Linked DNA regions of Astyanax mexicanus. Each later gene encodes a partner of the first gene's protein in a complex. Links are inferred from orthologs where the notes say so. Each region holds a gene or a part of one and is shown in the gene's direction. Other genes may lie near its edges. The genes, in order: nfs1, LYR motif-containing protein 4 and fdx2.

The links.
Region 2: the proteins of nfs1 (region 1) and LYR motif-containing protein 4 are in contact, whole or in part, in a crystal structure (PDB 6W1D), measured with the Homo sapiens proteins. The link is inferred for Astyanax mexicanus from reciprocal best matches to the Homo sapiens genes NFS1 and LYRM4. Residues at the interface, in NP_066923.3 of Homo sapiens: Leu56, Arg57, Pro58, Leu59, Pro68, Leu69, Pro71, Arg72, Leu74, Asp75, Leu78, Glu314, Tyr317, Arg321, Asp372, Arg412, Phe413, Thr414, Thr415, Glu417, Glu418, Tyr421; in NP_065141.3 of Homo sapiens: Phe23, Tyr26, Asn27, Tyr28, Thr30, Tyr31, Arg34, Arg35, Asp38, Val65, Arg68, Gln69, Ile72, Thr78, Asp79, Lys80, Leu81, Ile82, Ile83, Asn85.
Region 3: the proteins of nfs1 (region 1) and fdx2 are in contact, whole or in part, in a cryo-EM structure (PDB 8RMC), measured with the Homo sapiens proteins. The link is inferred for Astyanax mexicanus from reciprocal best matches to the Homo sapiens genes NFS1 and FDX2. Residues at the interface, in NP_066923.3 of Homo sapiens: Gln153, Lys157, Leu160, Asp161, Arg164, Ala168, Tyr175, Ala384, Ser385, Leu386, Glu387, Pro388, Tyr390, Arg393, Gln456, His457; in NP_001384335.1 of Homo sapiens: Ala104, Cys105, Glu106, Ala110, Cys111, Pro141, Leu142, Ile169, Thr170, Arg171, Asn172, Phe173, Tyr174, Val175, Asp176, His178, Lys181.

The regions. Positions count from the first base shown.
Region 1 is NC_064431.1:18,139,776-18,150,325, reverse strand, and holds the start of nfs1 (cysteine desulfurase, mitochondrial), read left to right. Parts: upstream 1-6,330; 5' UTR 6,331-6,537; coding exon 6,538-6,655; intron 6,656-8,631; coding exon 8,632-8,708; intron 8,709-9,352; coding exon 9,353-9,469; intron 9,470-9,681; coding exon 9,682-9,765; intron 9,766-9,897; coding exon 9,898-10,050; intron 10,051-10,550. Other genes in the region: rbm39a (RNA-binding protein 39a), read left to right, coding at 487-567, 663-783, 910-1,015, 1,136-1,214, 2,392-2,492.
Region 2 is NC_064413.1:47,012,794-47,023,549, forward strand, and holds the start of LYR motif-containing protein 4, read left to right. Parts: upstream 1-6,312; 5' UTR 6,313-6,423; coding exon 6,424-6,509; intron 6,510-10,756.
Region 3 is NC_064412.1:31,743,223-31,754,361, reverse strand, and holds the start of fdx2 (ferredoxin-2, mitochondrial), read left to right. Parts: upstream 1-6,210; 5' UTR 6,211-6,238; coding exon 6,239-6,419; intron 6,420-7,970; coding exon 7,971-8,025; intron 8,026-8,489; coding exon 8,490-8,596; intron 8,597-9,174; coding exon 9,175-9,262; intron 9,263-9,737; coding exon 9,738-9,894; 3' UTR 9,895-11,139. UniProt on the Homo sapiens protein: Electron donor, of the core iron-sulfur cluster (ISC) assembly complex, that acts to reduce the persulfide into sulfide during [2Fe-2S] clusters assembly on the scaffolding protein ISCU.

The DNA.
Region 1 (10,550 bases):
TTTTTCGTGCATTAATAAAAATCTGCTAAATGCTAACAATAAAGCTTGATAATAATTTGTCAATATCAATATATATTACAATATTAGGTATCACAGTACAATTTATTTTTGACATTTTACTACTGGAAAACTACAGCCCTGATATATGTGTAACTCAAATCAAAACACATCCCATTTAACATTTTTTTTGTTTTATTTTGTTTTTTTACACTCTGCTAAATAAATCTTTGATCAAATTCGGGTCAATATTTAATTTGGTTTATCTGCATCTTAAATTAAGACGTTTAAGACCTATTCAACATATTCCTGCACTGCAGGTATTTTAAACGAGACTTTTAAATGATTCAAATCACTATTCTGAAGTATAGCGCCTCAAGGCAAATTAAGAACTATTCATTACGCTATTAATTTCAGCATATCGTCCAGCCCTAGCATATAAACATATGAAATCCTAAATGATGATACCCTTTCTCCTGTAATTTGAAGGTACTGGTCTGCAGATCCCTCCAGCTGCACAGCAGGCTCTTCAGATGAGCGGCTCCATGGTTGCAATGGCTGCAGCTACAGGTAAAGTTTGAATTTATGACAATGGGCTGATTATCTGTTAATCTGGAGAGTGTTATCAATTTCTTTTGACTTTTTTTTTTCTTCTTCTATTGTAGCGGCCATGAATCCTGGATTAAGTTTTAATCTCAACATGCCCCCAAATCAAGCTTTAAATCTACCATCTCAGCCAATCGCCACGCACTGCTTTCAGCTCTCAAACATGTTTGACCCACACTCGTAAGTCTTTTTGTGTGTTGTATTATCATTATTAATACTATTAATATTATTACTGGTGTTTAATTAAATTGTCTTGTTTCATTTTAAAATAGACTTAAAATTGACTTAATTCTCTTGGATTTATAGAGAGAACGATCCTGGATGGGATATCGAAATCCAGGATGATGTAATTGAAGAATGTAACAAACATGGCGGTGTCATTCATATATATGTAGACAAGAAATCTGCAGAGGTATGTACTCATGATTTTTTTTGAGGGAGTTTAACCAGAGACTGGAAGTCAAAAGTGCTATTAGATTCTGGGCAGTTTAATTTAATAGCAATTTCTAACATGAAGTCTCTTTGTTTCTAGGGGAATGTATATGTGAAGTGTCCGACAATCCCTGCTGCAATGGCAGCGGTTAGTGCATTACATGGCCGTTGGTTTGGAGGTATGTGTTATCTTTGTCTTTCTTTATGTATAGTAGGGTGATCTGTACTGAGCCCCAAAAAATCTTTCAGCTCTAAAAGCAGACCTGCAAACATGTACACATTTTGTGTAATGGGCATGCGCTTTGACCACCTAGTACACTTGTACTTTGTCACTCTGGCCAGTTAGCAAGGATGCTAACCCAGCAAGCTACCTATTAAGCCATTCACTACTTTCATCCATGCTTCGATTTTTGTCCAAATTGGCAACACTCAGTCGCTGTGCTGTAGATTCTCAGGTGCTCTTTCTCTCTCTCTTGTGCTCTTGTTCTCTTTATAGCTCTCCCTCTGTTTCTCAATCCTGGCCCTGTCACCTCCCATACCCTGCACATTTTCCAGAATGCCTCTGCTTTACTCAGCCCTGCCACTCTAAAAGCTCTTATTAATGAGCTGATTAGTTGATCAGGTGTGTTGGGAGCAGAAATCATTTTTGTGTGCAGTTAAGGGGGGTTGCCAGGATCAGGATTGAGAAGCACTTTTATATAAAGACAGTTAGTGCAGAAACTCTTGAATTAAAAGCCTTCTAAAACACGCAGCTGTAAAGGATGTCTAATATGATGTGAAGTGTCCCAATTTAGATTTTGACACCTTAAACATTAAACTATCCTATTACTCACTATTTGGCTATACCTCACTATACCTGCTCAGTTTGCGTGTTTGTCAGCATCACATACTTTTGTAATGAACTCCTTCTGAAAGAATGAAAGAGGAAGAACAGTATATGGGGGATGACAGGGTTGTTTATAATACACAGTAGAGAGCTTTCCAAATACACTGGTTATTGTGTTAATAGTTTAAAATTTGAGATAATGAGTAAAAGAAAACTTACCATTATTCACTTTAGTAGGAATAAAAAAGGTATCAGTGGTTAATAGTATTATGAATATTTGAAGCAGAACAAGGACAAGCATTAAAAGTGTTAGCAATAATAAGTATTTGCAGAATGATGAACATGTACAAAAATGGATGTCTGCCATGCTGCATCCACAAAGTCTGCATTGTGGTGCTCAGGCACGGTGCAAGGCAGCTGGACCTGGTGGAAGTGAACTTCTAAAACAATGACGGTAAAAAAAGACAAGTCTGTACTTACATTATCTGGCAGTCTGATTTATAATTCTCATTTTATGTTTGTTTTCTCAGGTAAAATGATCAAAGCTGCATACGTCCCTCTGCCAACATACCACAATCTCTTCCCTGAGTCGGTGCAAGCAACACAACTCCTCATGCCAATTCGCCGGTGATCCTTTCCCTCATCCCTGGAGCTATTTTTATTTTCAGCCTTTCTCTTTTTAACTCTTTGGGTAAAATATTCATATTCCAGTCCTGCAAGCTATGACAGTTTCTTTTCGAACTGGAGTTCAAGAGGTTTAAGTTTCATCTTAATGTGCCCATATGTTTTTTGGGCATCAGAGAAAGGAGTTGTGGTTGGTTTGTTTGTACAGTTTTTTTTTTTGTTTGTTTTTGGGGGGTTGGTCGGGGTTCAGAGGGGGCTTTTGAACTTTGTTGATACAGGTTTCAAATTTTGTTTTCCTCAACATATATTGTCTTTGTGATTGATCAATCATTGTGGTGATTGATTGGCATGAGTTCCACTTAAGGAAATGTACAGTTAGCCTCTCAAAACTAAAATGTTGAGTCTTTTTGAATGAATTGAAAATCCTGCAGATTGGCTAAATATCTACAAAATCTGTGTTTTGGGCTCTGTGAGCTGTGGGAACTAAGTAGGTGATGAGAGCCTGTATGTTCGTAGAGACTGGTTTCAAAGCATCTTGTTTTTCTAATGCAGATTTGATTTTGTAAAGTCCTTGAAAAGTTCATTTCAAATAAAGCCATGATGCTGAAAAAAGTGTGAGGTGTTTGCAACCTGTTTAGTTAAAATCTAGCAATCTTGAGAAACGAAGAGTGCTTTCTGTTTTAAAAGAAAACATAAGTGTAAAGAGAGTTGCGGGATAAGAAGAGAATGTCGTCTCTACTTTCAAGAGAGAGTATGTGAAATCAGCTGGACATGTTTTAGAGCAGTGATGAGGTTCCAAAATACTTGTTACTGCTTTTCCTTACTGCTCTCCAACTTTGCCTTACAACATTAACTTGTTAATGTGTTCAGCTAATCTGTAAACTTTAACACATTAACTTTGCCTTTTATTTATGTTAAAGTTTTGCTCTCTTTCACACACTTGTTTAGTCATGCAAACAATCTCTGTTAACACACACAGCTGATGACATGTTTCCTTTTTTAAGATGTTGAAGGTGGAACATGGATCTACACCAGCGTTTATTTTCTTCAATAAAACCCTCAGTTAAACTTAGTAACTCGGTGCATTACAATATTCTGGTTTAAAAAGCATCAAAACTACCCTGAGATGTAATACAGCAAATCTACCCTGAGATGAAATAATTCAGAAAAAAGGATATTTTCTGCCAGGTGTAAATCACACTACACTATTATTACTGCCCCTTCCCAAAAATACAGTTAAAAAACAGCAATTAAACAATGTAGTCATAACTTTATTCATGATACCAGTAATACAAATCGAAGTGTTTCTAACACTGATTCTTTACTTCACGTTTAAATACCCATTATCAAAAACCTAGACTTTTGATAATAAAGAAAAAAGGTTGGAATAATCATGATTTACACAATTTTGTGAATCACATAATTCTACAGTGATTTAAATGTATGATTTTAAATCGATTGACACCTTGTGTATATATTTGTTTTGTTTACTACAGAAAATAATACAAATGAAATACTGAGTGTGGCATTTCCAAACCATTGTTCTGTATTGTAAATTAAAAACAGTTTTCCTCTTTCTTTATGTAAAGATCTAGATTATTATAAATTTGGGTAAAGAATGTGTTTGGGGTGCTGTATATTTGAAATTTGAAATTCCAGCTAGGTCTTGTGTAAGGCTCAGTAACTTTCCCCACATGTCTGGGTTTGCCTGATCCAAAGCTTGAACTGCCACAGCAAGGCGGATCAGAGGAGTGGCACAGTTTTCATTCTCTAAATCCGACAGAGCCCTACTTTTCTCTCCTGTAGCAGCCTGTGCATCTGCCTCAAGTGTGAGGTAGACAGTCCAAACACACTGCCACACTTGACCCATGTTTCAGTTCTATTTTTAACACTAACTTCTGCTAACTGCTTTGACCTTGGACCTGCTTCATAGCTAGCTTCAGTGTGCTAATCAGTAAGACCTGCTTACTTTGCAGTCTATAATGATTAATGAGAAATTTAAATATATATATATATATATATGGAAACTTGTGATGTTAAGGTTTGTACACTGAACATAGTGGCCTAGATATGAGTTTGTAAACCATGTTGACTCAGTTGTTCATTAATTTATTGCTAAAAAGTATAATTGATAATTGGCCTGTTTTGATTACAGAAAGTTTTTGAGTCAGGTACATGTATTGTAATTCCATGGTTTTACTGTACAAAGATAAACACCCTTTATGATCACATTTAAAGAAAAATGGGTGAAATACAGTACCAGTCAAAAGTTTGGACACATTGACTCATTCAATGTTTCTCTTTTCTTATTTCCTTCATTCTAAATGAATACTGAAGTTATTCATACTATGAAGGAACACATAAGAAATCAACTTAAACTTAAGGAACCTATCCTGTGCAACAGAGTTACTTTCTGCTCTTCCTTTCATGGGGCGGTCCTAATGAGAACCAGTTTCATCATAAAGTTTTTGATGATCTTTGCGATTGCACTAGAGGATACTTTTAAAGTTCTTGAAATTTTTCGGATTGACCTTCATTTGCTAAAGTATTTTTTCTTTACGTAGCTGAGTAGTTTTTGCTATAATATGGATTAGAATACAACTCAAATAGGACTATTCACTGTATATCAACTCTACCTCTTCACAACACAACAACTGATGCTCTCAAACACATTAAGAAGCAAAAAATGCAAGTAAATAACTCTTGACGAATTCAGCACAGCTGTTAACTGAAAGCGCATATTCTACCCCATAAAGATGACTGAGAAAATCCAGCCGACGTGCAAAGCTGTCATCTAAACAAGAGTGAATTTTGAAGATTTAAAAATATAAAACATATTCTGGTTTGTTTGATAATTTCATGTAGTTTACTTTATATTTTGGATAATGTTAATCAATCGATTTTACTGTGATTATTTGTTGTTAATTTTGTTGGGTCAAATATTTGGAAAAAATAAAATTAAAAAAAGTTTTCTTTTCCAACTTAACTCTTCTTGGTTCTTGTCTATGTACTGTTATTTGTTCTTGTCATCTATATGGTATGTCTGATGTTTGTCATTTATATGTTTGTCCCAATAGTAATAATACTACTACTACTACTACTAATAATAATAATAATAATAATAATAATAATGATTATTATTATTATTATTATTATTTTTATTATTATTATTATTATTATTATTATTATTATTACCATTATATTCTTAGAATATTTGAAAGGCACTTATTGTCATTTTATTGTCATTGTTATTATTATTTGTATTATTATTATTTTTTTTATTATTATCAATATATTTTAGAATATTTGAAAGGGATTTTATATATTATTATTATTATTATTTGTATTATTATAATAATACATTTTTAGAATATTTTAGATACACTTTGTAAATATGTTTAATTATTATTATTATTATTATTATTATTGTTGTTATTATTATTATTATTATTATTTAATGTTTTATTGAGGAACTGGCAACACAGCAAATGAATAATACAAAAAAACTGATAGTAAAGGTTAACATGTTGGAAAAAAGTATATTTACTAAGACTACCAGATCCCTCAGAAAGTTGTTATAAACCCACATTATAAACCCACGTATTATTATTATTATTATTATTTGAATTGCTGTGTGCGACCTCCTGGTTAGATAAACACAAAAACATATTAACAATTTGTTCATCAAAATCGGAAATTCTTTTGACTGATATTTCAGATTTCCTGCGGAGAAGTCCCGCCTCGAACCAATTACATTTCGTTCACCTTTTAAATCCCGCCTACACTGTAAACATTTGTCCAATCAGGTACTCGGCTGATCATCGCCCCGCCCCTCAGAGGTCAGCAGCGTGTTGTGTAAGCGCCGCTGTGTGTGAGTGAGGTTGGTGGTGTGGTGGTTCGTCCCTCAGTACCGGAGCGGTGTGGATTAGAGCCGCTGTTACCGCGGGGTTCAGCCCCTTCCTGCTGCGGGAGATTACTGATACGGGGTTATTTATCGCTCCGCGGAGCAGTTCAGTACTTTTACTAGAGGAATAAACCGGTGTTTTGAAAAGATGATGAGCAGGAGCGTCACGAGGAAGCTTCTGGGCTCCATACGCGGCGTTTCTACCAGCGCCCGCCTGAACTGCCCGGGGGCTCCAGCCTCCGCTCCGGCCGCGCAGAGAGGCAGAGGTTGGTGACCTGGCGAGGCCAGTTAGTTATTTATCCAAAGAGCTAGTTATGAAGTTCTTAATTATTATAAAATCCTCCCAGTAGCTTTAAGCTCTCTCTCTGTCCTCATGACGCACTTCAGCTAAGTTACTCCGCGAGCCTCAGTTGGAGTTAGTTAACTAACTTAGGTTAGCCACCTTGCTAACTAATGAAATCCTGAGCTTAAATCGCTAGCCTAAGTTAGTTAGCCTCGTTAGCCTAGCTCAGTAACGGTCACTGTAGCCAATTAGGTTAGGTAACTAATGTCACCGTCAGTTAACTAGCCTAGCTTGCTAGCTAAATTAGCTTAGCTTCTGCGTTTGTTTTTATTTAACCTGGCTAAGATAAGTGTTCTACACCATTGTCAGCTGTTTTAGCTCAGTCTAAACTAAACCCAGTCCTAGTGTTAACTAAACTTAGTCTTAATAGTAACTAAATTCAGTTTTAAGGTTACCTTAATTCCGTCCTAATTAGTGCTGCAGCTATCGATTATTTTAGTAATCGAGTAACTTAGTTACTCCATTTGATTAATTAAGTTATCGGATAAAACATAGTTGCTTGCTTAAAGAGCAATTAAAAATACACGCGAAAACTAGACATTTCACTTGATAATGAATGACTAATTGGTTTCCTTGTTTAGATAAGTTTTATATTTTTAAATTCACTACATAAGTTACATTTCCAATAAAAAAAACACAAATAAATAAATAAGTAAAGCAAGTAAAAAAAAGAAATTTAATTACATTACTTTCAACTTTGAATGTATTGTATTAAGTATCAGATATAGGTTATTAATCAATTAAGAAGGCGTAAACATTGGCTTTATGTTGTGCATCGAAGTTTTTGAACAGCAGGGACTTTGCCAGTTCTGCCAGTGTTGTTGTCAGTGGATTCTCCTTCTTGGACAGAAATGTTGCTAACTTAACTCAGTACTAGCGTTAACCAAACTCTGTTCTAACTAAACTCGGACCTAGCTAAACTCAGTCCTGTCGTTATCTAAACTCAGTCCTAACTAAACTCAGTACTTAACTCAGTACCTAGTAAACTCAGTCCTAGCGTTAACTAAACTCAGTCCTAGCGTTAACTAAACTCAGTCCTAGCGTTAACTAAACTCAGTCCTAGCGTTAACTAAACTCAGTTCTAACTAAACTCCGTTCTAACTAAACTCGGACCTAGCTAAACTCAGTCCTTTCGTTATCTAAATTCAGTTCTAACTAAACTTAGGCTAAACTCAGTCCTAGGGTTGCCTAAACCCAGGCCTAACTAAACTCTGGCCTAGGGTTGACTAAACTCAGGCCTGACTAAACTCAGTCCTAGGGTTGCCTAAACCAAGGCCTAACTAATCTCAGGCCTAAGTTTGACTAAACTCAGGTTTAACTAATCTCAGGCCTAAGGTCGCCTAAACGCAGGCTTAACTAAACTCAGGCCTAACTAAACTCAGCCTCAACAAACTCCGCCCTAGGGTTGTCTCAACTCAGGCCTAACTAAACTCATGCTTAAGTAAACTCAAGCCTAGGCTTAACTGAACTCAGGCCTAAGGTTGACTAAACTCAGGCTTAACTAAACTCAGGCATAACTAAACTCAACCTTAGGTTTAACTAAACTCAGACCTCAGGTTGACTAAACTCTGGCCTAACTAAACTCAAGCTTAAGTCAACTCAAGCCTAGGTTTACCTAAACTCAGGCCAAACTAAACTCAACCCTAGGCCTAACTAAATTCAGGCGTAACTAAACTCAGGCCTAGTGTTACCTAAACTCAGGCTTAACTATACTCAGGCTTAAGATTGACTAAACTCAGGCCTAATTAAACTCAGTTCTAAGGTTGACTAATGATTGTTATATTTTGTGTAACCGATAATGTTCTAGTTCCTGGTTTTTGCTTATTTAGGAGTATTTTATCATATTCTGCTGTATCAGAATATCTGATGTTTGGTCAACCACTCTCTTTTTCTCCACAGAGCTGATTAAGAGTAGAGAGCTGGAGAAAGATGAGCTTCGGCCGCTCTATATGGACTTCCAGGCAACAACACCAATGGTAATTTAATCATATGTCCAGATCTTTATGTCACGCTTTTACAGCTAATATACAAAGTTAGTTGTGATAAAGTCTTAGTGTGTCCTCACACTCAGCAATCCTTGCCGTGCCAAGGAGCGGTTACCTCCCAAACTACGGCTCGATTGACTAGTGTGATCATTCTAAACCGTGCCCAGGCAGGGAACGCTTCACTTGAACTTGAGCATGGTATGCATGCAGTATGAACAAGATGCGACGTTCCTGTAAACAAACTTCAGGAAAAGCACCCTCTCTCGGGAGCGTGGGCTATGTTGCTATGTATGTAACCATGACTGAGATAACCTTGACTTTGACTAGGTAAGTTTAAGCTGTCTATCTCCACATTTATCAAGAAGACGCACTCCAAAGAGAGGGTGCTTTACATGGAGGGGGTGCTGATTTTGACACAACACCGACTTAAAGGTGTTCGTTTTAGTTATGGCTATGGTTAGGGTTGAGGCTGTAAAATTGAATAAACCACGTCCTTAAAACTATGTTTAAAGAATCTAGTAGAAAGTCTTCTCTGGACAAGAGAGACAGTTACTCAAACAAAAGCAGGATAAACTAATTTAATAACTAATTTCAGTAAAAACAATAAAGGAGTAAGACTTTATTTGCCTGTACAGGATCCTCGAGTTCTGGACGCCATGCTTCCCTACCAAGTGAACTACTACGGCAATCCGCACTCGAGGACACACGCTTACGGCTGGGAAAGCGAGACTGCAATGGAAAAAGCGAGAAAAGTAAGATTGTTGTGTTCTTTCCTCCATCAGAATGAATGTTTGTCTTGGCCGCTCCTGCAAATAATTGTGCAAAGAGTTACGTCTTTGTCTCGGCGTCACATGATGTTCTGGAATAATGGCTACGATTTACTTGCAGAATCCAAAACAAAATATTTGGGTTAAGACAAAAATGCATTGTTTATGTGAATGCCAGTGTTTATTTCCACTTCCAGCAAGTAGCTGATCTTATTGGGGCCGATCCACGAGAGATTGTGTTCACCAGCGGCGCCACAGAGTCCAACAATATGTCAATCAAAGTAAGTATTTCTGTGCTTGCTAGCAAGAACAGAAGCATAGTATTAGATATGCTTAGACTACTATGAGAAACTATTTTAGGTTTGGGATTTAGCATTTTGTGTTAGCTTACATATTTTTTTAATGATCTCCAGGGTGTGGCACGGTTCTATAAGGCGAGGAAGAAGCATGTCATCACCACACAGACGGAGCACAAGTGTGTGCTGGACTCCTGTCGTGTTCTGGAATCTGAGGGCTTTGATGTAACATACTTGCCTGTTAAAAGCAATGGATTAATTGATCTACAGGTACGATTCATTGCCTGTCAAAAGTAGGACCTGAAACTAGGAGTGTAATAATACAGAAATTCTCGGTTCGGTTCACATCTTGGTATTATCCCACGGTTCGGTAGAAGAAATAAAGAGGCTGGGCTAGGCCTGGATAATAATTCGATATCGGTATTTATCGCGATAAGAAATGTTGATATCAGTTTTGTGGCATATCGATATGTATTATTTACAGAATCTGTCACGGACAGGCGTTTTTTTACTGGCGTCAGCTCGCCGCAGAGCTGAACACATTCAGCCCCCGTAGCTGGGCTACGTCAGTGCGTGATGATGTAACCACACAGGCACGTAGCCAGCTAGGCTAGGCAAGGCTAGGTTAAAATGGCTAGGCTCGAGTCCGCTTCGCTATGCAGCTAAAATGTCTCACGCTGGGCCTTCTGTATAGCTTCTCGCTTGTGTTTTTTTTTTTTTTTTTGGGATGTGATGATGTAACAGGGCTTGAGCACTTTTATTAAATATTT
Region 2 (10,756 bases), on another chromosome or scaffold:
CACATTATTACAGTAATATAATTATAATTTCTGAAACATTAAAAAAGCTATATTAACAGCAATATTATTCAAATTAGTTTTATAAAAATCTGTTTTGCTATTTACTGTAAAGCTTTGAAATATACGTTGTATATTTGTATAGTTTTGCAGTTTATGTGAATGTGCTTAATATTCTGCACTTTGGTTTTATAGTATATTTTCAAAATTAGTCTTGGAAATTATTTACGGAATTGACGTAAAACTGTTATATTTGTCTCCAAAAGTCCCCAAACAGAATTGATTACATATTTACATATTTAATAAATATCAGAACTTTCCACATTTAAACATATTTTGTGAATTTAAAGGGCAGTTCCACAACCAGCTGTTTTATTTATTTTAAAGTGATTGAGGGCATGGAAGAAATAATCATTGGTTAATCAATTAAACAAAAAAATAGATTAGTCAACACAAAAATTATCATTAGCTGCAGACATATTAAAAAAATATTTTAGCATTGAACACTTAGCTAGCATGATAGCTAACGTTGTGTTCTCCATAGATGACACTCAAGTCTGTCTGACTGAAACACTTCTGAACGTTTAGACAAGCATTAAAGGGTCTCAAAAGGCTAACTGAACTGATCCATGGAGGCACCATCTCCCAACTTGCAGGACGTAAAAGATCTACTGTATGCTTATTGCTTGGTGTCAGATATCACATAACACCTTCAGAGGTCTTGATGGCTCAGAGCTCTTTTAGCACAAGGCACAAGGTAGACCTTCTCCATATTAGGCAGGTGGTTTTAATGTGCTGACTGATCTGTGCCCAATTTCCCAAGTTTTCACCCTATGTTGTCAAACGGCTATAGCTTCAGTACATTGAGGTTGTTTGTCCTTGTCTATTTAACTTATAAAAATCTAACTAAGAGCTCGTCAGTGCACTTCAGGTCTGTGCTGATCATAATATAATAGCTCTGCATAGGGAATTACACCATCCAACATCTCTTTTAAAACCATGGGTATTATTTGAGATGGCACAATGCGTTTTATACACCATCAGATGTCTATGATTTATTTTTGCAAGCAGAGTTTTAAATATGTCCAGCGTCTGCTGCATTTTGCTGGTCTTATCCCTGCAGCTGCTCCTAACATGAGTCATCTGCTGCCAGAAGTTTCCCAACTAGCAGTGGCTAAAACACATCAGTATTCAGAGCTGGATGAGGAGCCAATTTGGAAGAAAAAATTAATAAAATAAACCCCTCCAACAACCTCTCATCTCAAACAAGACTGATTGATATTCAAGGACATCTGGGATATCAATTAGAAGTTGTGTGACACTGCATGAGGTCTTTGGATGTGACGCAAAACCAACAAGAGAGTCCGACAGTCGATTTGATCACTGTGAAACTGATGGTGAGTGAACGTTCTTATATATAGATGGGAAAATTAGATATAATAAAGTCAGTGCAGACTGAAAAAGCACATCCAACCCTCCCACAATGAGCAATTATATTATACAAACTACATGTTTGTCCAAATTGACAGCACCTGTTTTACTTAACACTGATTCTTATTCTCAGCTGTCTGTTTCAGTAATCAATTAGCAGAATTGGTAAAATTCCTACTAGGGACGCCTATTAGCATTTCAGGTAAAGGTGCCAGTATCCCATATTTTAATAGATTGGGTACTGCCTATTTAAATCCCAATCCAGTTAGTCTTTACTTTAAACACAGTGTTCAGAACACCATTAGTGGACATTAGGGCTGGCCCGAATAGCGTTTTTTGAGCTCCGGATATTCGGCACTGATTCGCGAATATTCGAATATTCGTTTTTAAAAAAAGAGGTAAAAAAAAAAATTAAAAAAAGCAAATCACGGCCCCTTTAATCCACTGAAAAATGTTCAATTTGCTCTGACCAACGAGACATATTCACCCCGGATTTTTGGTGTTTTTATCCCGGATTTTTGTGTTTTCACCCCATATTTTTTCTGTGTTTTTAGCCCAGATTTCTTGGTGTTTTCATCCCGGAATTTCTGCTGCCCCACACGCGGCTTATCCGCTGCGTAAGCAGGCTAGGAGGCTGCTGCTGCACGGTTTCTCCGCTGCGCAAGCCAGCCCAGTAAATTGCTGTTTGTGTTTTCACACTTAGGTTATTTGCTTAAAAAAAACAAACAAAAAAAACGTTTGTTCAGGAAGTATTTTATATTCTTAAACATTGTTAATTATATTAGAGGACAGTCATTGTAAACTGTACTTGGTCTATTTCGGTTAAAGGATTGTGCAGGGCATATTACTGATTTTGTATTTTTGCACTTGGGCTATAAGCTCAATATTAAATATTTCGTTTGTTTAGAAATTATTTTATATTTTTAAACCATGTTAAATTATATTAGAGTAGAGGAAAGTCATTGTTAATGACGTTATTGTACTTGGTCTATTTCTGTTTAAGGATTGTGCAGGGCATAGCCGTATTACTGATTTTGTATTTTTGCACTTGGGCTATAAGCTCAATATTAAATATTTTGTTTGCTTAGAAATTATTTTATATTTTTAAACCATTTTAAATTATATTAGATAAGAGGAAATTCGTTCAGACATCATTTTTGTAGGCCAGGCTTTTGTAACCGATTTAGCCCCTACTGTTGCCACATTACCCCTTACGTTTTATTATATAAATCAGTTTCGAAGAGCCTGCATTTTTTTTTTATCATGTATAATAGAGGTCTGCGCGAGACTGATTTTTAAACCCACTCTTCCATGCTCCCGCGTTTCTGTCTCGTTACCACTCCGCAAAAAAATTGCTTCTTTTAATCCCGCGCCCGCCCGCCACATACACATTTCTGCCGCTCCCGCCCCACGTTCCTAATATAAATTAAATAAACTACATTTAATGCTTCAAATTTACTTATATATTTATTAAAACAGCAGCGCTGAATAGTGCGGTCCCGTTCCTTACCCCAGTCCAAACACCATCGGTGTGTGCGTGTGTGTGTCGGTCCATCCTGCGCGTTGAGAGTTTTCTTTAGGTTTTTTTTTTTTTTTTACAATTATTACAGTTTTCTTAACTATTTATTAATTTGCTCCCGCATCGTCTGGATTAAACTCCCGCTCCAGCCAATAACAGTTCAGTTCTGTCCCGCGCGCAAGATATTCTGACGGGACCCGCGAGAACAGAAGTGGTTAGAGTGAGGTGGAACTCTGGAAAGGAGAAAAAAAACGAATATCCGAATACCAAAATTAAAAACCGAATACCTACTCAACGAACGAATATCCGAATACCCGAATATTCGGGTCCAGCCCTAGTGGACATTTTTAAGGCCCCATTAATAGACATTACTGCCCAGCACCACTAAACACTGTGCTCAGAACCGAGTTTATTGCTAATGTCCATACACACAGGCTACAAAAACACAAATCACAGCAGATTAACAAGCTGTAAGCCAGTTATTTCACATCAGTATTCAACAAAGAACAACAGATTTCAGTCAAACACATTAAGAGGCAAGAAATTTAAGTAATTAACTCCTGACGAGGTACAGCTGTTAACTGAAAGCCATTCCAAGTGACTCTACCTCATAAAGCTGACTGAAAAAATTCAGCCAAGATATGCAAAGCTGTCATCTACCCAAGACGTGCTACTTAGAAGAATCTAAAATATAAAACATATTCTGGTTTGTTTAATACTTAAATCCATGTGTTTTTCTCCATAGGTCGTATGTAGGGTTGCAGCGGTAACCGGTTTCACGGTATACCATGGTATTAAAATGCACGGTTATCATACCGTGTGTGTTTGCTTATTACCGGTAAAACGCAAGCCAGCGGAGAAACTCACCCGCGCATGCGCAACTCTGCTCCGCTTCAGCTGCTCAGCACACAGCGGTGAGAACAACAGAAAGTGCATCAGACTAAACAAATCTCCGTCCGCCTAAAAAAAGGCTAAACTAAAATCAGCAGTGTGGGACTATTTCGGATACCCGCCGAACGCAGGATGGTTATCCGATTTGTAATCAATGTGGCCGTAAAGTCACAGCTAAAGGTGGACATACGTCAAACCTGTTCTCCCATCTCCGAGAACACCACCCCGCTGTGCAGCGCAAAGTATGTGTTTAGCTTATAATTTTAATCTGAACCTAAATAAAACCTCTTTGTAGTCGTGCACAACCCATGCAGTAAGCGCCCGCAAAAGCGCTGAGTTATCCGAAATTTGGGCACGCAGGTACAGGCGTGAAGTGCGTGCTACGATGGATTCACGTGTCCGTGTAAAGGTCCTGGCCGGACTGGATGTGAAAGACGCCATTCATTTACATGCGTTCATTTTCAAATTCTGACGTGCCTGTTTTTCAAATGTTAAAACCAGACTCGGTGTGAAAGCCTTAAAATAGAAATCTCTATTGTGAGGATCATGTCAGAAATAAATCCCCTCTTTCTGCAGTATCTGGTTATATACCAACTTGGCAGTAAAACGGACGTTTACAACAGTTGTTGATCAGACACTGACCCAGGCTCAGTTTATCAGATATTAAATAATTTAAACTTAAATAATTGTACTGAATAGTTTAAACACAGGATCTTTACTTCTTAGAGGACATGTAATGTGTGTAACGTGTGTGTATGTGTGTATATATATTATATATATTTATATATATTTTTTTTATATACACTCTTAATGCCCTTAAGAGTAGTGGAAAAAAAATTTTTCCTTCACCTGATGGTATACAGCTTATTTTTTTTTAAGGAGACATTAAAATTATAATTGTTCCAGGTTTCTACAATAAATAGTTAATTGAACAAAAAACCTTTGTTGTAATTTCTTTAAGGGTCAGTTTAATAATATATGTAACAAACTGTGATACCGTGATAACCGTGATACCGCGGTATTTTCTGAGACGGTTATCATACCGTGAAAATCTCATACCGTTGCAACCCTAGTCGTATGATTTTAGTATTAATCTACAAAGGATATTGTTTTATACAACTTTTTAAATAATGAAAAAACAAACAGCATATTTAAGGTGTATCCTACTTTTAACTGGTAATATTCATATGTTTACATACTTTCAATGTCAATATATTTCAATAATGCTGAATGCAAAATGCTTTTTAATAATGCTGAAGTGAAAACATTCACTAAACAGTCACATTCACAAACTCCTTCAACACGTGCCGACATGTTCATGCTCTCTCTCTCTCTCTCTCTCTCTCACACTATCTCAGTCTCCCTGTGTCTCTCTCTCACACACACTTTCTCAGGTTCTTTATCTGTCTCTCTCACACACACACTCTCAGTCTCTCTATCTGTCTCTCTCTCTCAGTCTCTCTCTCAGTCTCTCTGTCAATCTCGTGCTCAGTCTCTCTACCTCTGTCTTTCCAGCTCCTACACAGTCTCTCGCTCTCTCACAGTCAGACTCTGTCTCTCCTTCACACACATTCTCTCTCGCAGTCTCTCTCTCCCACACACAGTCTCTCGCTCTCAGTAACTGTCTCTCTTTTGCTCAGACTCTGTCTCTCACTCACACACTTTCTCTCTGTGTCCCTTTCTCTCTCTCTTCACAAAGAGAGATACTGGCCAGGCTAAGCTTGCTGTGTGACTGTCTAGGAAGAACAAATTGAAGGAGGGTGGCTCTCAGGATGCTGGAGACATGCTTAAAACTCTGATAAAGATTAGATTGAAAATTGATTTAGTTTTTTAATGAAGATTATTTGGTCTTGTGCACACAGAAAAATAGAAAAGCCACTTATTTTAGTTTGACCCTTTTTTATTTTTTTTTTGTGTAATGTAAATTTTTAATAGTAAAATAAAGCGTGCCAAAAGTCAAAAGTGTCTCTTTCTCTCTCTCTCTCTCTCTTACTCACACACATTCTCTCTATGTGTGCATCTTTCTGTCTCTCTCTCTCTCTTTCTTTCTCCCTCTCTCTCTCACTCTCTCTCTCCCACTTTCCCTCTCTCTCTCTCTCTCTCTCTCTAACTATATATATATATATATATATATAATATCTCAGTGACAGTAGTGGAGTTTATCAGTCAGTCTGTAAACAGTAAACACAGTAAACACAGCTATAAACACACAGAGAACGGAGCTGAACCCGGGCTGTGCTCTGAACGCGCAGTATAAATGAGCTGTGAGTTTAGAGAAGAAGGAGGAGGTGAATAATATAAATAATAACAGTATTAAGTTAATAAACATGCAGCCCTCAGACTGTCCCACTCACCTCTCTCAGACCCGCCGCCTGTCAGAAACACGCCTCACCTGCGCGCGAGCCTGATCAATATACACACCCGCCCCGCGCTCAGCGCTGTACACTGATTAATATCTGAATTCGCTTTATTTCTACAGCCTGTTTAAACTATAAAACTGTTTATTTGCTCCGCAGTCGGAGCGCGAGAGGCGATAAAGGCGGGTTTTCTGTTCAGGCAGTGTTTTAGTCGCCTTTGTGGGAAAGATGGCGGCGTCCAGTAGAGCGCAGGTGCTGTCTCTGTACCGGAGTCTGCTGAAGGAGAGCAGGGCTTTCCCCTCCTATAACTACAGGTATTTACACAATTTACCCCCTTAATACCCCACCACACACACCTGCCCTGCGCGCGGGGGCTGTGTGAGGTGGGTGTGTAGACTGTAGAGCTGTTGGGAGTCTGGGTTCTTTTCACTGACAACACAACTCACTGTAGTTATCCCCTTTCTGTTAAATAAATCTCCAATAATTTGCTTTAAAACGTGTTTTCTGTGTTTATTATTTATTTCTCGGTTACTTTGTACCTTTAGAAATCTCCAGCTCTTGTTGTGAAACTTTAAAGCCCATATAAGTGTACACGAATCAGTCAGAAGTATATTGTGTAAGCTCATTAGCTAGACTCCTTTAAAGTCCTTCAGGAAAAAAAGAACTATTGAGAAAGTTCATTTATTTGTATAAATTCTTTACAGCCCGTTTTTTTTTTTTTGTAAACCAGCTTTGGTTTGTAAAAACAAACATATGCACAGGGAAAAAACAAACTGGCAAGCTTTAGGAAGAAGCCTAGCCTAGCTCTGGGGGACCCATGCAAACAAAAACTACTAAGGATTGTGTAATAAATGGTAAAACGTCACCTTACCATAACATAAGGCCATTTCTATTTACTGGTGTACTAAAATAACACGTTTAGCAGTAGTAGAAGAAGGTTTAGCAGTATAAGTATCAGTATTATTAGCATTAGCAGTGGTAAAAACTGTACCACTAGCAGTTGTACTAGCATACGTAGGAGCAGTAGTATTAGCAGTATTATTAGCCATACAGTAGTGGTATTAGCAGAAGTAGTAGCAGTATTATTAGCAGTCGTATTCATATTAGTAATAGAAGTACTAACAGAATGGTAGCAGTATGTGTAGCCGTATTATTAGCAGTAGTAACAGTAGAACTATCATTAGTACTAGCAATAATAGTAGAAGTAGCAGCAGTATTTGTATTTTAAAAAAGTGTTTGCTGTAGTAGTAGTAGTAGTAGTAGTAGTATAAGTAACAGTAGTACTATTAGAAGTACTAGCAGTAGTAGCAGTATTATTAGCAGCAGTGACAGTAGAACTAGCATTAGTACTAGCAATAATAGAAGTAGCAGCAATATTTGTATTATAAGCAGTATTTGTTGTAGTAGTAGTAGTAGTAGTAGTAGTAGTAGTAGTGGTAGTAGAAGTAACAGTAGTACTATTAGAAGTACTAGCAGTAGTAGCAGTATTATTAGCAGTAGTGACAGTAGTATTACCATTACTAGCAATAATAGTATAAGTAGCAGCAGTATTTGTATTATTAGCAGTATTTTAGCAGTAGTAACAGTAGTACTATTAGAAGTAGTAGCAGTAGTACTAGCAATAGTAGTAGAAGTAGCAAACATATTTGTATTATTAGCAGTAGTAGTAATAGTTGTACTGGCAGTAGTAGAAGAAACAGTAGTATTAAAAATAGCTGTACTCGTATAAGTAGCAGAACTCACTGTAGTTTATCCCCTTTTTGTTAAGGGAAAACTCCAGTAAATAGGATTAAAACATGTTTTCTATGTTTTTCTAATGAGCACTGTGATTTATTGGTACATTTAGAAATCTTCAACTCTTGTTGGGCAATTTTAAAATCTATAAGAAAACAATTAAACGTATAAAGAATCAGTCAGAGGTCACATACAGTAGCAGATCATTAGCCAGGGGGCCTTAACAGCCCAGACCCTGACCCATTTAGTAGTTAAAGTTGAGGCCAAAGTTGTTTAAAAAATATATATATATATATATATATATTTGTGTTAAAAAAACACTTTAATGTTTCCAAGTTAATCACATGTTAAGATAATATAACCTTGACCGCACTTAATGTAACTGTTTAGGGTGAAACAGAGTTAGAATTCGAAGCCAACTGGATTCCATTTTCAAAAGACGGTACCACATCTATTAATAAATGCCTGGGTCATGCTTTTATTGTGGGTTTTGAGGTGTGTTTAGTATTGTTATTTTGCTGGTGTTTAATTAAATAAATTCTTCCCTGTACTACTGGTTTTAGGTGATTCGATGTGTAGGGCTAGATTAAGAGCTGTGCCTGTATTTAGGCTGCATTTCACTCTTACAGCTTTATTTTGTACCATTGTATCATTGACAGTCTGAGGGCTGTATGCAGACCAGATTAAAATAACAGTTCATGAAGTTCATCAGGTGGCCTCTCTTTCTTACAGTGAGAGATGGGCTGCTGTGTTTTGTTTTTCCCAAAAGTGGGAAAGGGGGACACACCTGTTTCAGTAAAGCAGTTACAAAACTATAGCATATAGCTGCATTAGATTGTAACAGCTTTATTAGTGTCCTTATATTCAGTCTGTACATGTTTATTTTTTATTATGCTGTGGTGATATGGCAACAGGGTCATTGCATCCATGAAGGTCACACCCCACAACGGATTTAAAGGTTCTGCTGTAAAATACATTGTGGTGGCTTGGTCCAGTTTTTTTTTTTAGACTTACCAAAAAATAGACTTACTGCTGGGGGGTGGGCAGATTCATTTTTATATACTAGCAACAGGGATTTGCTTAAACTGCCCAAGTCCTGTGTTTACTTGGCCACAATACCATCCAATTTTGGATTCTTTTTAAACTGAAAAAAAAATAAAAAATAAAATACAAAGTTTAGTTTGTTTACAGACCAATTGAACACATACAGTAAATGTTAAACCAGCAAGCTTACAGAACACACTCCAATCTGTCTGTCTGAAACTCTACTTATAGTAAACTGTTTAGATGAGAATGATGATTGAGCGACTGGACGGAGCAAATATAGAAATTAGCTTTTTATCTAGATAACTTTAGCTACTAGATTAACCCATCTTCAGAGAGATTTGAGGCACACATTTCATATTTCTTTGCCTGAGTGTATAACAACTTAGGTGGACTTTGTTTTTGTTTTTTTTTCTTCGTTTTTTAATATATATACCCCCCCCCCCCCACCACCACCACCTCTTTTCAGAGAGCTACATAAAATTTAGTGGGTGCCCCCTTTCTGGGTCAATCTTAAATGCACAAGAATGAATTAAGTATTTTGGCCTGTAGTAGCGAGACATAGAGCATATGTGATATATCAGTTATTCATGAGTGATATGTATGAACCATCCTTGTTAAAATGTTTTAGTACTGTGCTATACAGTATTACCATTATACCGCAATCAATCAATCAATTAATCAATCAATCAACCTTTATTTAAAGTACATTGAGGGTGGCCCTCATTTACAATGTAGCTGAGCCAATACATAGGGAAGTGATTGTCAAAGAAAAAGAATAAATAAATAAAAAGACCTAGCACTTTAATAAGATATGAAATAAATAAGATAAAAATAATTTAGTAAGAATCATAAAATCATAGGTAAGAAAATCAAAGGTTATAAAAGAGGTAATAATGCAAGAATGGCATTATTCTTGTTTATTTCCTGTGTATAACTTATTGCTTGTTTCTTGACCTAGATAAGAGCTTATGTTGTACCTGCCTGCATGTTTTAGACAATCTTGAATAACAGTTTTCTAAACCCTGAAACGAAAACCTTCTGCGCATGCAGCCTGCCTCAACACATTCAAACGAGGCCCTTAAACATACATTTTTTCGGTGTTCTTGGCAATTAAACCGAACATTTATTTTTATGAATATACTAATGTAACAAAATAATACTGATTAAGAATAATAATAATAATAATAATAATAATAATAATAATAATAATAAAAACAACAATAATAATAACAATAATAATAACAATAACAATAATAAAGTGTATCAAAATAAATTATGTAATATAATGTAACATAAAGACTTACCACAATACAATAAGTGCAAGCTATTTAGTGTGTGCATATATAACTACAAACATTAAAGCTTCACATTAAATAGCAAAGCAATATAAGAGTAAACTGCTGAAATAGACTGCAGAATATGGCTATTATCACAATATGGATATTTATGTATTTTATGATATTTATTTTATTCTGAAATATATATATATATATATATATATATATATATATATATATATATATATATATATATATATATATATATGTGTGTAATATGTAAAATATATTGTGTAACCCTAAATACATAATTGTTGTGTTTCGTTTCTTATTTTGTAATATCTTACTCTTAAATTTATTTTCTTTACAGAAACAGATATTGAAAACACCTACATATGAGTGTAGCTCAAAGCATTGTTGAAATATTAACTGTATTCTTCATTTTTAAATAGAAAATAACATATTATTCAAATGACGAGTGATCCCAAACTTTTGAGCAGTGG
Region 3 (11,139 bases), on another chromosome or scaffold:
TTGGCTGCGTGTGTTGCTAATGTTGCTGTTTTTGAAAATAATATAATGTGCTATGGTTGTTCCAATTACTTGTGTGTGGTTTGTAATTTTATGTGTTATTAATCATTTCTATAATTAATGTTGTTTTTATTATTGATGGTATTAATGTTAATGATATCTATATATGTTTTTTTTCCTTAGGTTTTATTGACTACAAGCTCAAAATGTAAAAACAAACAATGACACTCTTCTCACATACACTGGATTAGTAAAGGCATGTGTTTTTTTTTATTGATAAATGAACTGCAAGGTAAACCTATGCAAAACCACATGCAAATTGTTGCAAGCAAGAGAGCGAGGGAGAGAGAGAGAGAGAGAGAGAGAGAGAGAGAGAGAGAGAAAGAAAATAAGCAGAAATTTGAGATAAAAAGAAAAGGGAGAGAGAGAGAGCACACACACACATTCTTTTTGTTAACATTGCTCCAGATTATGTAATAATGAAAGCCGTATCTATCAGGGTTAAAGAGCGATAAAACATCTGTGAAACATAACACTAGATTTATGATTAAATCAGATGTTATTATTTTTATCATAATAGACAAAGAGCTCAGCACTCATCTGTAAGTGCAGAGAAATCAGATTATGTTTATAGAGAATAAATAATAATTATGTAATAAAAAATAATTATGTGATATTTACAAAAAAAAATAAAATGCACAGGGTTTCATACTGTTAAAATGAATAAAAAATATAAAAAAAGCAGAACATTTACTGTTTTATTATTGTATTTTTATATATCCATTATACTACTGGATTAGCTGTCTTTATTGTGCATTTTCTACTAGGTTTTGGAGCATTGTTGTGAGATTAGATTGAATTCAGTTGTTAGAGCATAAGAATGCTGGAGGATCACCACCTCAACTCATCCCAAAATTACTAGACATGGTGCCAGTAGCTAAATTTTTATCTGCTTCAAAGAGTCATATTGTATGGGCAGTATTGCTCTACAGGCACTGTATAAGATGTGTGTGTATTAAGGAGTACTAAACAGTTTTAATTATATGGTTTTATTGTTTTTATTACATGGTTTTATGGTTTTAATCAGCTGGTGAAGATCCTGAGTGCTGGGAAAGTTCTGACCTAATTTGCACTTTACACTTTGCCTATCAAAACCCGTCAGCCCCGACTCGTCAGGTTACAGTGGTGAGAGAACTCAGGTAGGTGGAGATGAAGAGCCCGCTGTGGGCAGGAACTGTATCAGGCTGTCTGTGTTTGTGTGTGATGAAGAAGCTGTGTAGTCTGGCTGAAGTCTGAGAGAGCTGGTTAACACGTGGTCAGCAGATGAACGGCTCTTAGCTGCTGTAATTCTTGCTCCCTGCATGAAGACAGCTTTGCTCTGATGGTGCTCCTCCGCACCCTCGCAGTCTTTACCACTGAGATCCTGCTGTTTATCTCTCTACTGAGACTGAGATCTTTTATCTAAACCTAAATCTGAAGCGTGTTCTCACCTTGACTCTTTGACTTGTCAAGAAGTCAGAGCAGTGATCCAAAAAAAAATTCTACTGTAGATGTGCTACTGTACCGCATGCTAGTCATTGTGTAGAATGTATACTAACTTTCACTAATAATAAAAAATATTTCTGCCAGTGAATGCAGCCTCTGTTTAGGTGCTCTACATCAGTGGTTTTCAAGCTGCAGGCCAATGTTTTGGTCAAGATTTGAGGATTAAAATCATTAAAAAAAATAAATAAATGAAATGATTGTATCAACTGTAGCTGTGTTGTTGATATAATAATATTAATATACTTTGAGTGTAAAAGAATATGTAACATTAATAGAATTCAATAAATGGGAGCAAAAATCAGACAATAATCCCTTTGGAAAAATAATAACACTGAAAAATGAATTGAACAAACTTTAATAAACAGATCCACAAAAAGAGCAGGAAAAGAGAGTCCATAAACTTCAAAATTACTGAGTTTAAAGATAAAATGGTAAATTAAAAATTAAAATCAGATTTAGTTATTGAAGCTTAAATAATGCTATATAATCCATGATATTGTTGTTTAACTGTGCTTTTTGTTTCTGATTACTTGTTAATTTAAATAATTTAATTCTTTTTTTAATTAAATTTTATAAATCTGTCAACATAATCCATTAAAAGCAGTGAACAGATCTAACTCTGTTTGATACAGGCTGGCTGATCTGATTTTACTCTTTTTTTGGGCAGAATAAAAAATAAAAAAATAAACAATGAAATGATTTAAATTAAACAGTTAATCAGTTATAAAAAGCACAATTAAATATTTATAACATATTGATAAAAACATATGATAAAATAATATGGGGGCAAAGGCAAAAGACAAAACACAAGGTGCACAGACAGAAAACAATAAACAGAATAAATGTAAATGTACAGGTATATATAAGCCAAATGTCTCTGATTCTTATACTGGCCTATTTGTTCTGCTTCCAGCACATCAACTTCAAAACAGTGACTGTTTCTTCACTTGTTGTCTTATTCCTTCACAGGTGCCACTGAAACCAGATCATCAAAGATATAAACCAAGATACTACAAGGACTTTGTTAAAAAACTCAAAATGTTCTAAACCCACTTTGGTTTGTGCATTTTCACAACAATTCCACAAATGATACCACTGCACATCACACATCACTTCACACTTCAGACACATTACACATGTGGCTTTCTGTTCCGGCTGGATTGTCGTTCTCAAGTGTGATCTTATCAAAATACCAGAGTGGAAACATGAACTAAACAGACCTACTAAAATAAACTACAGGTGTTTTCCAAAGATAATTAGAAACACATTACGTATCACATTACTTCCCACTAGTAGTTCTAATTTTGAATTAAGTTGTTTTAAATTGCAGTATATGTACATATACATTTATGCTTTTAAATTACTGTAATGATGCTATTTAATCATGTTATTCAAATGCTATATAAATAAAATTGAATTGAATTATCATGCATGCCCATATTTCAGTGTTTATTTTTCTGCCTGATTTAAAGATTAGAAACACATTACTATATTACTTTCAACTATTAGTTCTTTTTATGAATTCAGTTGTTTTTGTTATATGTTTAGTTTATGCTTTCAAATATTTTAAAGATCTTATCATATATATGCCCATTTTTATTTATGTGTATTATTATAATATATAACACAGCAGTTATTTTTTATATTTTGTAAAAGTTCATGGTGAATATAGAAGCTAGAAATGTCTGAAAATGGCTTTTAGCTTAAAAATCATTTTACAGTAACTTACAGGAACATGTTTATATATACTTTACATAAGACTGAATTTGTATATAATAAAGTTTTTTTATTTTTTACTTAGTTTCTTTAACTCACTGGAGTGAACAAATTAAATAAGGCTTTTTACAAGACTTTCTACTTTTCATATTTTCTACATGTTTTTTTATTCAATAAATAAATAGAATAATTGTGATATACTTTAGAAGTAGTTAGCAAAACATGGGATTTGAAATTCGATCAAAAAGTCAAATTATTATGTCACTTTTTGGAAATTTTTTTGGAAGTCAGAATGTGTGAAGCTCTTCTGAGAATAATATTGTATGACTGATGTACAGAACTGGAAAAGGAAAGTGGTGGTTGATAACAGATGTGTCACTGCATGATTTCCACTTGATTACACTTGTTCGCCTATGGCACAGAATGAGAAGCTCAGCATATTTTTGTGATGACAGTCAAATCACACATAATATATATTAGCCTAAATGGTAAATATTAACACAATAGTTATTAAATAAAGTAGAAGACCTGTGCATTTAGGCCTATTTTAATCCAGAAAATATTTTTTAAGCATTCTATTGTAAATGTGGCAAATATATATATATATATATATATATATATATATATATATATATATATATATATATATATATATATATATATATATATATATATATATATATAAATAATAATGTATTTGACTTTGTTTAAGTTGAAAAATGTTCAACAAACCTATTTAATGCTTTTACCAACAGAGAAACCGGTCGTTTTTATGGGAGGACATGACTTGTAGCTGTGACATATAGAGATTTTCTTACCTTTATATAAATAAATGATGACGAGGTGAAGCGACATTCTAAACCGATTGGCCAGCCTTCTGCTTTCTGAACGTTTGATTTCTACTGTACATACTCAGCAATGTGGTTCTGAAGAAGACAGAAAAATTGAGAAAAATAAAGCAATAGGTAGCTTTAGGGCTGGATGATATTGCAAAAATCTATATCACAATATATTTCTTAATTTCGGTCGATATGATACAAATGATTCAAATATTGATATGACCAGCATGAAAGCCACCACCCTTGGTTTACATAATTACACACTGCTAGAGCTGCATGATCTGGTTAAAAATATTATCACATGAAGAAACAATGTTGCAAATTCTAAACATGTAACATATATCAAACATATATTTTTAAATTTTATTGGAAAATGATTTCAGTTTGGATTTTGCCAGTCTTTTCTTTATTTGTTTTTAAATTTTTGTGTATTTTGGACAGAGGCTTTTCAGGGGGGCAATCAGATTTCAGCTGGGGCCAATGCCCTTGTGGCCCCACCACTAGAGCCTCCAGTGCCTCGATATGCTTATAAGAGGTTCTATCACAATACAATAAAATAATGATATATTGCTTGCTAGGTAGAATAGCCAGCATGCTAACCAGTCACACCAGTGTTTGTTTAACTGTAGTTTTTTTTTTTTTTCAGGTGAGTGGACAATGAAGAGAAGATATGGTAAAGGATGGCATTAGCTAGTATTAGCTTTTAGCTTAGCTCCACATTGGCTTTCACGTCTTGGCGAACCAATTCTGGAGGTGATAGGCTTCTCTCCAGTATCAACAACATTATGTACTGGCAAAGTTTTCATCTCATTTTACTGTTTTGAGTACTCTACTGCTTTGAGTAGAGTTTTCTGTAGTATGTTGGGTTTACGTAAATATTGGGGGTGTAAATATAATGATTCAAGACTGCTATGTAACATTGTTTGAGCTTTCATTTCCCAAATGTTTAGTATTCAAATATGTCAAAATAAATACTGTTTGACATTCTATGAGCTCCGTTAAGGTTAAAGTTAAGTGTTAAAGTGTTAGCTTTAGTATTGCGACATAAAGGCCAGAGGAAGGCTTTGTTTAAGTTGGTTGTGTAAAGACAAAAGAACTTGTTGTGATCTCTTTCAGGAAGCCAGCATGCAGACACAATGCTCTACTATAGGGTGCACAGGAGATGGCTAGCCAGATTAGAAAGCCTATGTGCAAATGTTATTTGCATCCGAGAGTTTACCAGCTGACCTGTGTGTTATTTAGGCAGATGAGCAGGTAAAGAGGGTTCTATTATGGCTGGTAACTACATGGCAGTGATTGGGATGCTGTATATCATCACATCTGTCGTGTTATTTACAATACTGTGTGTAAAAAGAGGAAAAATACTCATCTTCTGGTCATGACTTTGACACATTTCTCTTAGCAGTTTACCTTGAGTAACCCTTTACATGCGTATCATTTGTCCTATAGCGCCCTCATGCGGCCAAATTACACAACGACCATTGTAGGGTGGTTAAGGACCCACCAACACTGAAACTTAGTTAAATAGGAGATCTTATCTTTATTAAACTCATCAATCATTAATTACAGATCTGTAGCAATAGTGGAGATCATTTTATTCCTCTTTTTCTCCCTCAACAAGTTTTCAGTGGTCTACCAGTTTGTTCTAAACTTCTGTTACTTGATATTTTATCCTTAATCTTTCTCATTTAACGTTTTACCTAAAAAAAAAAAAACTTAATATATAAAATTAAAAAAAAGAAAATAATCATAATAATTCTAACCCCATTTCCTTCTTCCCCTCCTTCACTTCTCTATCCCTTTATTTCCCTTCGACCTCCTTTGAGCCCTATCTAAAATGGTTTATCTTAATTCCTATTACTTTTGTACTTCATTATTGTAAGTCGCTTTGGACAAAAGCGTCTGCCAAATGCAATGTAATGTAATGCAATGTAATGTCTTAATAGTCATTCTGACCAAAAATGACAGTGAATTTAGAATAAAATAAAAATAATAAATTAATACCAAATATTAATAATGACCTTAAAATAAAAACAGAGCTGAACTTGTGTTTAATAAACCTGCACACCGACGAGAGCTACGTCACTCCTCCGTCTTCTTTTCTGATTGGCTACTGCGGACCATGTGACGACAGCAGTGTCATGGCGGCCGCCGCTGCGGTCCGTGCTCTGAGTGTGCGGCTCGGTAAAGTGGCCCCGGACTGCAGCGTCTGTCCGTTTTACCGCCTCAACATGTGCAGCGGAGCCGTGCTGGGTCCCACCAGAGGGAGACGAGCCATGGAGCTCTACTCAGCCCCCAACAGAAAGCTGCAGACCTCCATTAGTGAGTGTATCCGAGCTCCCAAAGTCAAACCGCGGGTTTTATAACATCAGAGAACTTAGGGTGTCTGAACTGAGCTCTAACTAACACGCTGATACTGAATTATTATCGTTTTTATTTGTGTTTATTCTAGTTTAGCACCTTCAATTACTGTCTGGTGTTACTGAGTTTCAGAAATATGTTACAGGTTGAGTTTGATGGCTGTTATTTACGTCTAAATTCCTAATTCAAAAGTATCCAAACGCTTCATTACCCTTCAGACAGCTTGAATAATCTTGATGATTAGACTCACATAAGTCTAAAGTCATTGTGCTGAATTCCAGGCTTGGTAGAGGGACCTAGAGGAGTTGTGGAGCATTGGAACTGCATTCTCTGGTCTGATAAAGCTCCATCCTCTAACGTTACTCTTGGAATGAGTTAGAGTTCATTCAAATTCAGTACCTGAATGCCATCAGATCCTCACAGCAAAGTTCTGTCAGAAAAGTGGAGGCTGTACCTCCAGCCACGCGAGTATTGAGGAAAAACTCCTCATTAATGACGTTGTTTTTACAAAGGTTTCAAAAGTATTTACATTTATTACTCAGGTAGAAAAGGATACTAAGGTGTAAATACTTCCGTAGAAGTTGAAGTATCAACTCAAGCTTTTTACTCAAGAAAAAAATTGGATGCACTAGGCTCCCTGTTTCAGATGTGTATATGCTAATTGAAAATGAGTGTATTCTAATACAATGCAAATACAGCACTGAAAAAAATGAGACCATTTAAAAATATGAGTTTCTTTAATTTTATCAATTTGAAAACCTCTGGGATATATTCAAGAGGAAGATGGATGATCACAAGCCATCAAACCAAGCTGAACTGCTTGAATTTTTGCACCAGAAGTGGCATAAAGTTATCCAAAAGCAGTGTGTAATACTGGTGGAGAAGAACATGCCAAGATGCAAAAAAAAAAAAAAAAAACAAAGACAGGGTTATTCCACCAAATATTGATTTCTGAACTCTTAAAACTTATTAAATATGAGCTTGTTTTCTTTGCATTATTTGAGGTCTTTTTTATTATTTCAGCCATTTCTCAATTTCTACAAATATATTTTATAAATGTCAAAAAAAAATTATTTGGAATTTTGGAGAAATGATGTGCGTAGTTTATAGAATAAAGCAACAATGTTAATTTTACTCAAACATTTTAAAATCGTCTGAAATATAATTACTCCAGTGAAGACAAATTCTAAACAAAAAAATCGACTTAAGTAAGTTAAAGGAGTATTTGTACTTTGCTACTTCCCATTTAGTTTTTTTTTTTTTTTTTTTTTAAGGAATATTTTTGGTTTTGGTTACTACTTGTAACAGGCTGTACTTGCAGGCATTACTCAGCAGCTTGGTCTTTAGTTGGTCAAGTTAAACTTGTTTTGGACTGTCAGGGAAATCTCATTACAAGAGCTTTGCTAAGAGAGCAGGAAAAGTCCAGTCCAGTGCAGTTAAGCAGATGAGTGTCTTTGTTAGACTCATTGCAGAGGTTCTCACTAAACTGTTCACTGTGGTTTATTATTTCAGATCTACGTCAGAGTGAGGAGGGCAGCTCGAACGTGGAGGACACCGATGAGGATGTGTATGTTACTTATGTTACCCTCCCTTTAACTTTATATTAGGTTTCCTATGTACATGTCCACCAGATCTATGGTTGCTGAGGAGCGAAAACCTTGTGTTTATCCAAAAATGGAAATATTAGAGGGATGGTAGAACTCTGGACTTTAAACATATAAGTGTAAAATGATTTTATTCCATTGAAAGCGTTTTTTATTGGTTAAATTAGCATGCAGTAGTGACACAGTTTAAATATTTTCCCTAAGTGAAAAACTGCAAAAATGGAGATGCAAGGTTTTTGACACTTTGATGTGCTCCCCAAACAAATAACTATTCGCATGCATCAAAATTCCCATGACATGTAATATTTAATGTTTATTCAGCATTTATTCATTTATTTTGAACAAATATTTGTATTTACTTATTTTGTTTTTTTTTTGTATTATTTACTTACCTATGTTCTTTTCTACCCCACGTCTCTTGTTGTAGTGTTAACGTGGTGTTCATTGATCGGTCTGGACAGAAGATTCCGGTAAAGGGTAAAGTTGGAGACAATGTCTTGTATCTTGCGCAAAGACAAGGCATTGAACTTGAAGGTAAGTTCTTGTTTATACCGGTCTTAAACTGGAGATTGTTACATAATAACATATGTGTGCTCGGGAATAGAATTGCATTGAACCTTCCAAAGACAATACACTTAATGTTTAAGGGTCCTGAGAAATCCTAGACATAACTTGCCAACTGTTTCACAGATTTTACAAAGTGTGTTTTTTTTTTCCTGTTTTGTTGTAAATTACACCTGTTTTTGCCAAAAGTATAGTGATGTGAGTCAATGTTTCTGTAGGACCCTGGCATCCGAGAATCAGAACATTTTTAACATACGTAATTGATCTGTGATCAGTTTTGCATGTGAACTATTCATAATTATTCATACTCTATTCCAAACCATAATATTGTGTAACCTTAGTATATTAACATACCATCAGACATGCTGTATTGTAGGATCCTGCTCTTAGTGGCAGCCAGTAAAGCATAGAAGACCTTTTAATGTTATTGTCCATATCTGTCCCTACTGAAAGTATTACCTACTTTGTGTGCAGCATTTGGTGTTGTGTAATTAGTATTATTATTAACTAATCAGGATTATTAACTTGTTAATTTGCTTTGTTTTCAGGGGCCTGTGAGGCATCCTTGGCCTGCTCTACGTGTCATGTTTATGTACATGAGGAGTATTTTGATAAACTACCAGACCCTGAAGAAAGGTAACAATTCTAAAGTCCTAAAGACAGCTAAGAAGAACCAAATCAACCATTTGAGACAACACATATTAGACAATATAATTTATTTATGGAGGGAAATGATTTAATATTATATGTTTTGTGAGGGGCAGGTACACTAACCTAACTGACCTAACCTTGTACTTAAAGATTAGGTTAGTTGGTTTACCTTTAGTTAGTTTAGTTAATCGTTAGTCCTTACCACTAGTTTAGACCCCCCCACACTTCCACACTTTGGGGGAGAACACTTGCTACATAAATGGCTATAAATTAAATCCCTATATATATTGATTACCTAATTATTCTACCTAATTCTACCTAATTATAATTGGTGTGTCAGGTGTGATTTAGGATATTTTAGATGGTTTGTGAATACCCCCCCAGAACTGGTACTGTTATGTCTACTGTTGGCCTACATACGTTATAGACATGTATTCATAACTTCTCTTAAACCCTAAAGGGAGGATGACATGTTGGACATGGCCCCCATGCTGCAGGAGAACTCACGCCTGGGTTGCCAGATCATTTTGACCCCAGAGCTGGATGGCATGGAGCTTACTCTCCCCAAGGTCACACGAAACTTCTATGTGGATGGTCATGTGCCCAAACCACACTGATATGGATGGATTGACAAAAGAGGGCAATGGACAGGGGTGAAGGTGAATGTGGGAGGAGTCTTTTCACTAGAAGACTGAGAGTCTCCCTTTTATAAAGGTGTGAAGAGCGCTGTGGAGAACCTGCACTAAAGTCTCGATCTGATTTAGTATTTTTTCCCTCCACGAGTGCGTTAAAAGAGTCCATACTCATAGGGTAGTGTCTCCTCAATGAGCACTATCTGATTTTAAATGAAAAGTACACTTGACCTAATTTCCAGCGATGTGTGGTCAGGAATACTCTCTAGTATCTACTGATGAAAGGCTCTGAAGGTCTAATGCTTTACAGGAAGTAGACTATGTGATGTCTTTTGCTCAGCTGGAATGTGGGGACTTAACTGGGAAGTTCTAGAGTCAGAGTTCCATTCTAGAATTGTAAACGCTTTGGTCTAGAGCCCTACAGTTCCAGACGTGTCAGCCTTTGTGAAGGAGACATTCCATGTTACGCACAGCGGTCAGACGCACAATTCTGTTTCAGGACAATCATTCATATGTGTAAAGGTAAACTAGAGGCTGTGTAAGATAAATTAACCATTGCACACCCATTTAGATTTTGAATGTTTCATTTCATGTAAGCACACACAGTATGTATGAGTTTCAACATATATTCAGATCATTTTTTCTAGATGTTTAAAGAAAGCAGAACGAAAGTATTGTTTGGTGTCATTATTTGCTTATGGGTATCGTTGTTCTGATGTCTGGGGGTTCTAATGTTTTATCTACATTTCTACACTATTCAAAACTAATGGTCTGTTATTAAGAAACTTAATGGCTTGGATTTCTTTAGAGTGCTGCTGATGAGAACGAGAGCATTGTGATGTTTACAACCAGATAAAGCCGTTTTATTTGATATTTAAAATGGCCAATGATCCTAAATCAGGGATGTGAAACCAAGGGCCACAGTTCACTGGCAACAATAGAAAACTGAATACTGATCTCCAACCCCCCAAATTGTATACCTACTGTCAGAATAATTACATAAACTAAAAAAAAAAATAGTTGGCATAGTTGTAAGGTAAATAAGGTAAACTCACCTTATTGAAAACACTGCTAATAACCTGTGGGAAGATAAGATGTGTTTGGAGCAGGGAAACTGGCAACCTGCTGAAATTCCCAGGTTACGTTTAGACTGCAGGCAAATCAGATTTGTTTCTTAATCGGATTTTAGGAGATGACTGTTCACAATATTATTTCCAAATGATCATCAGA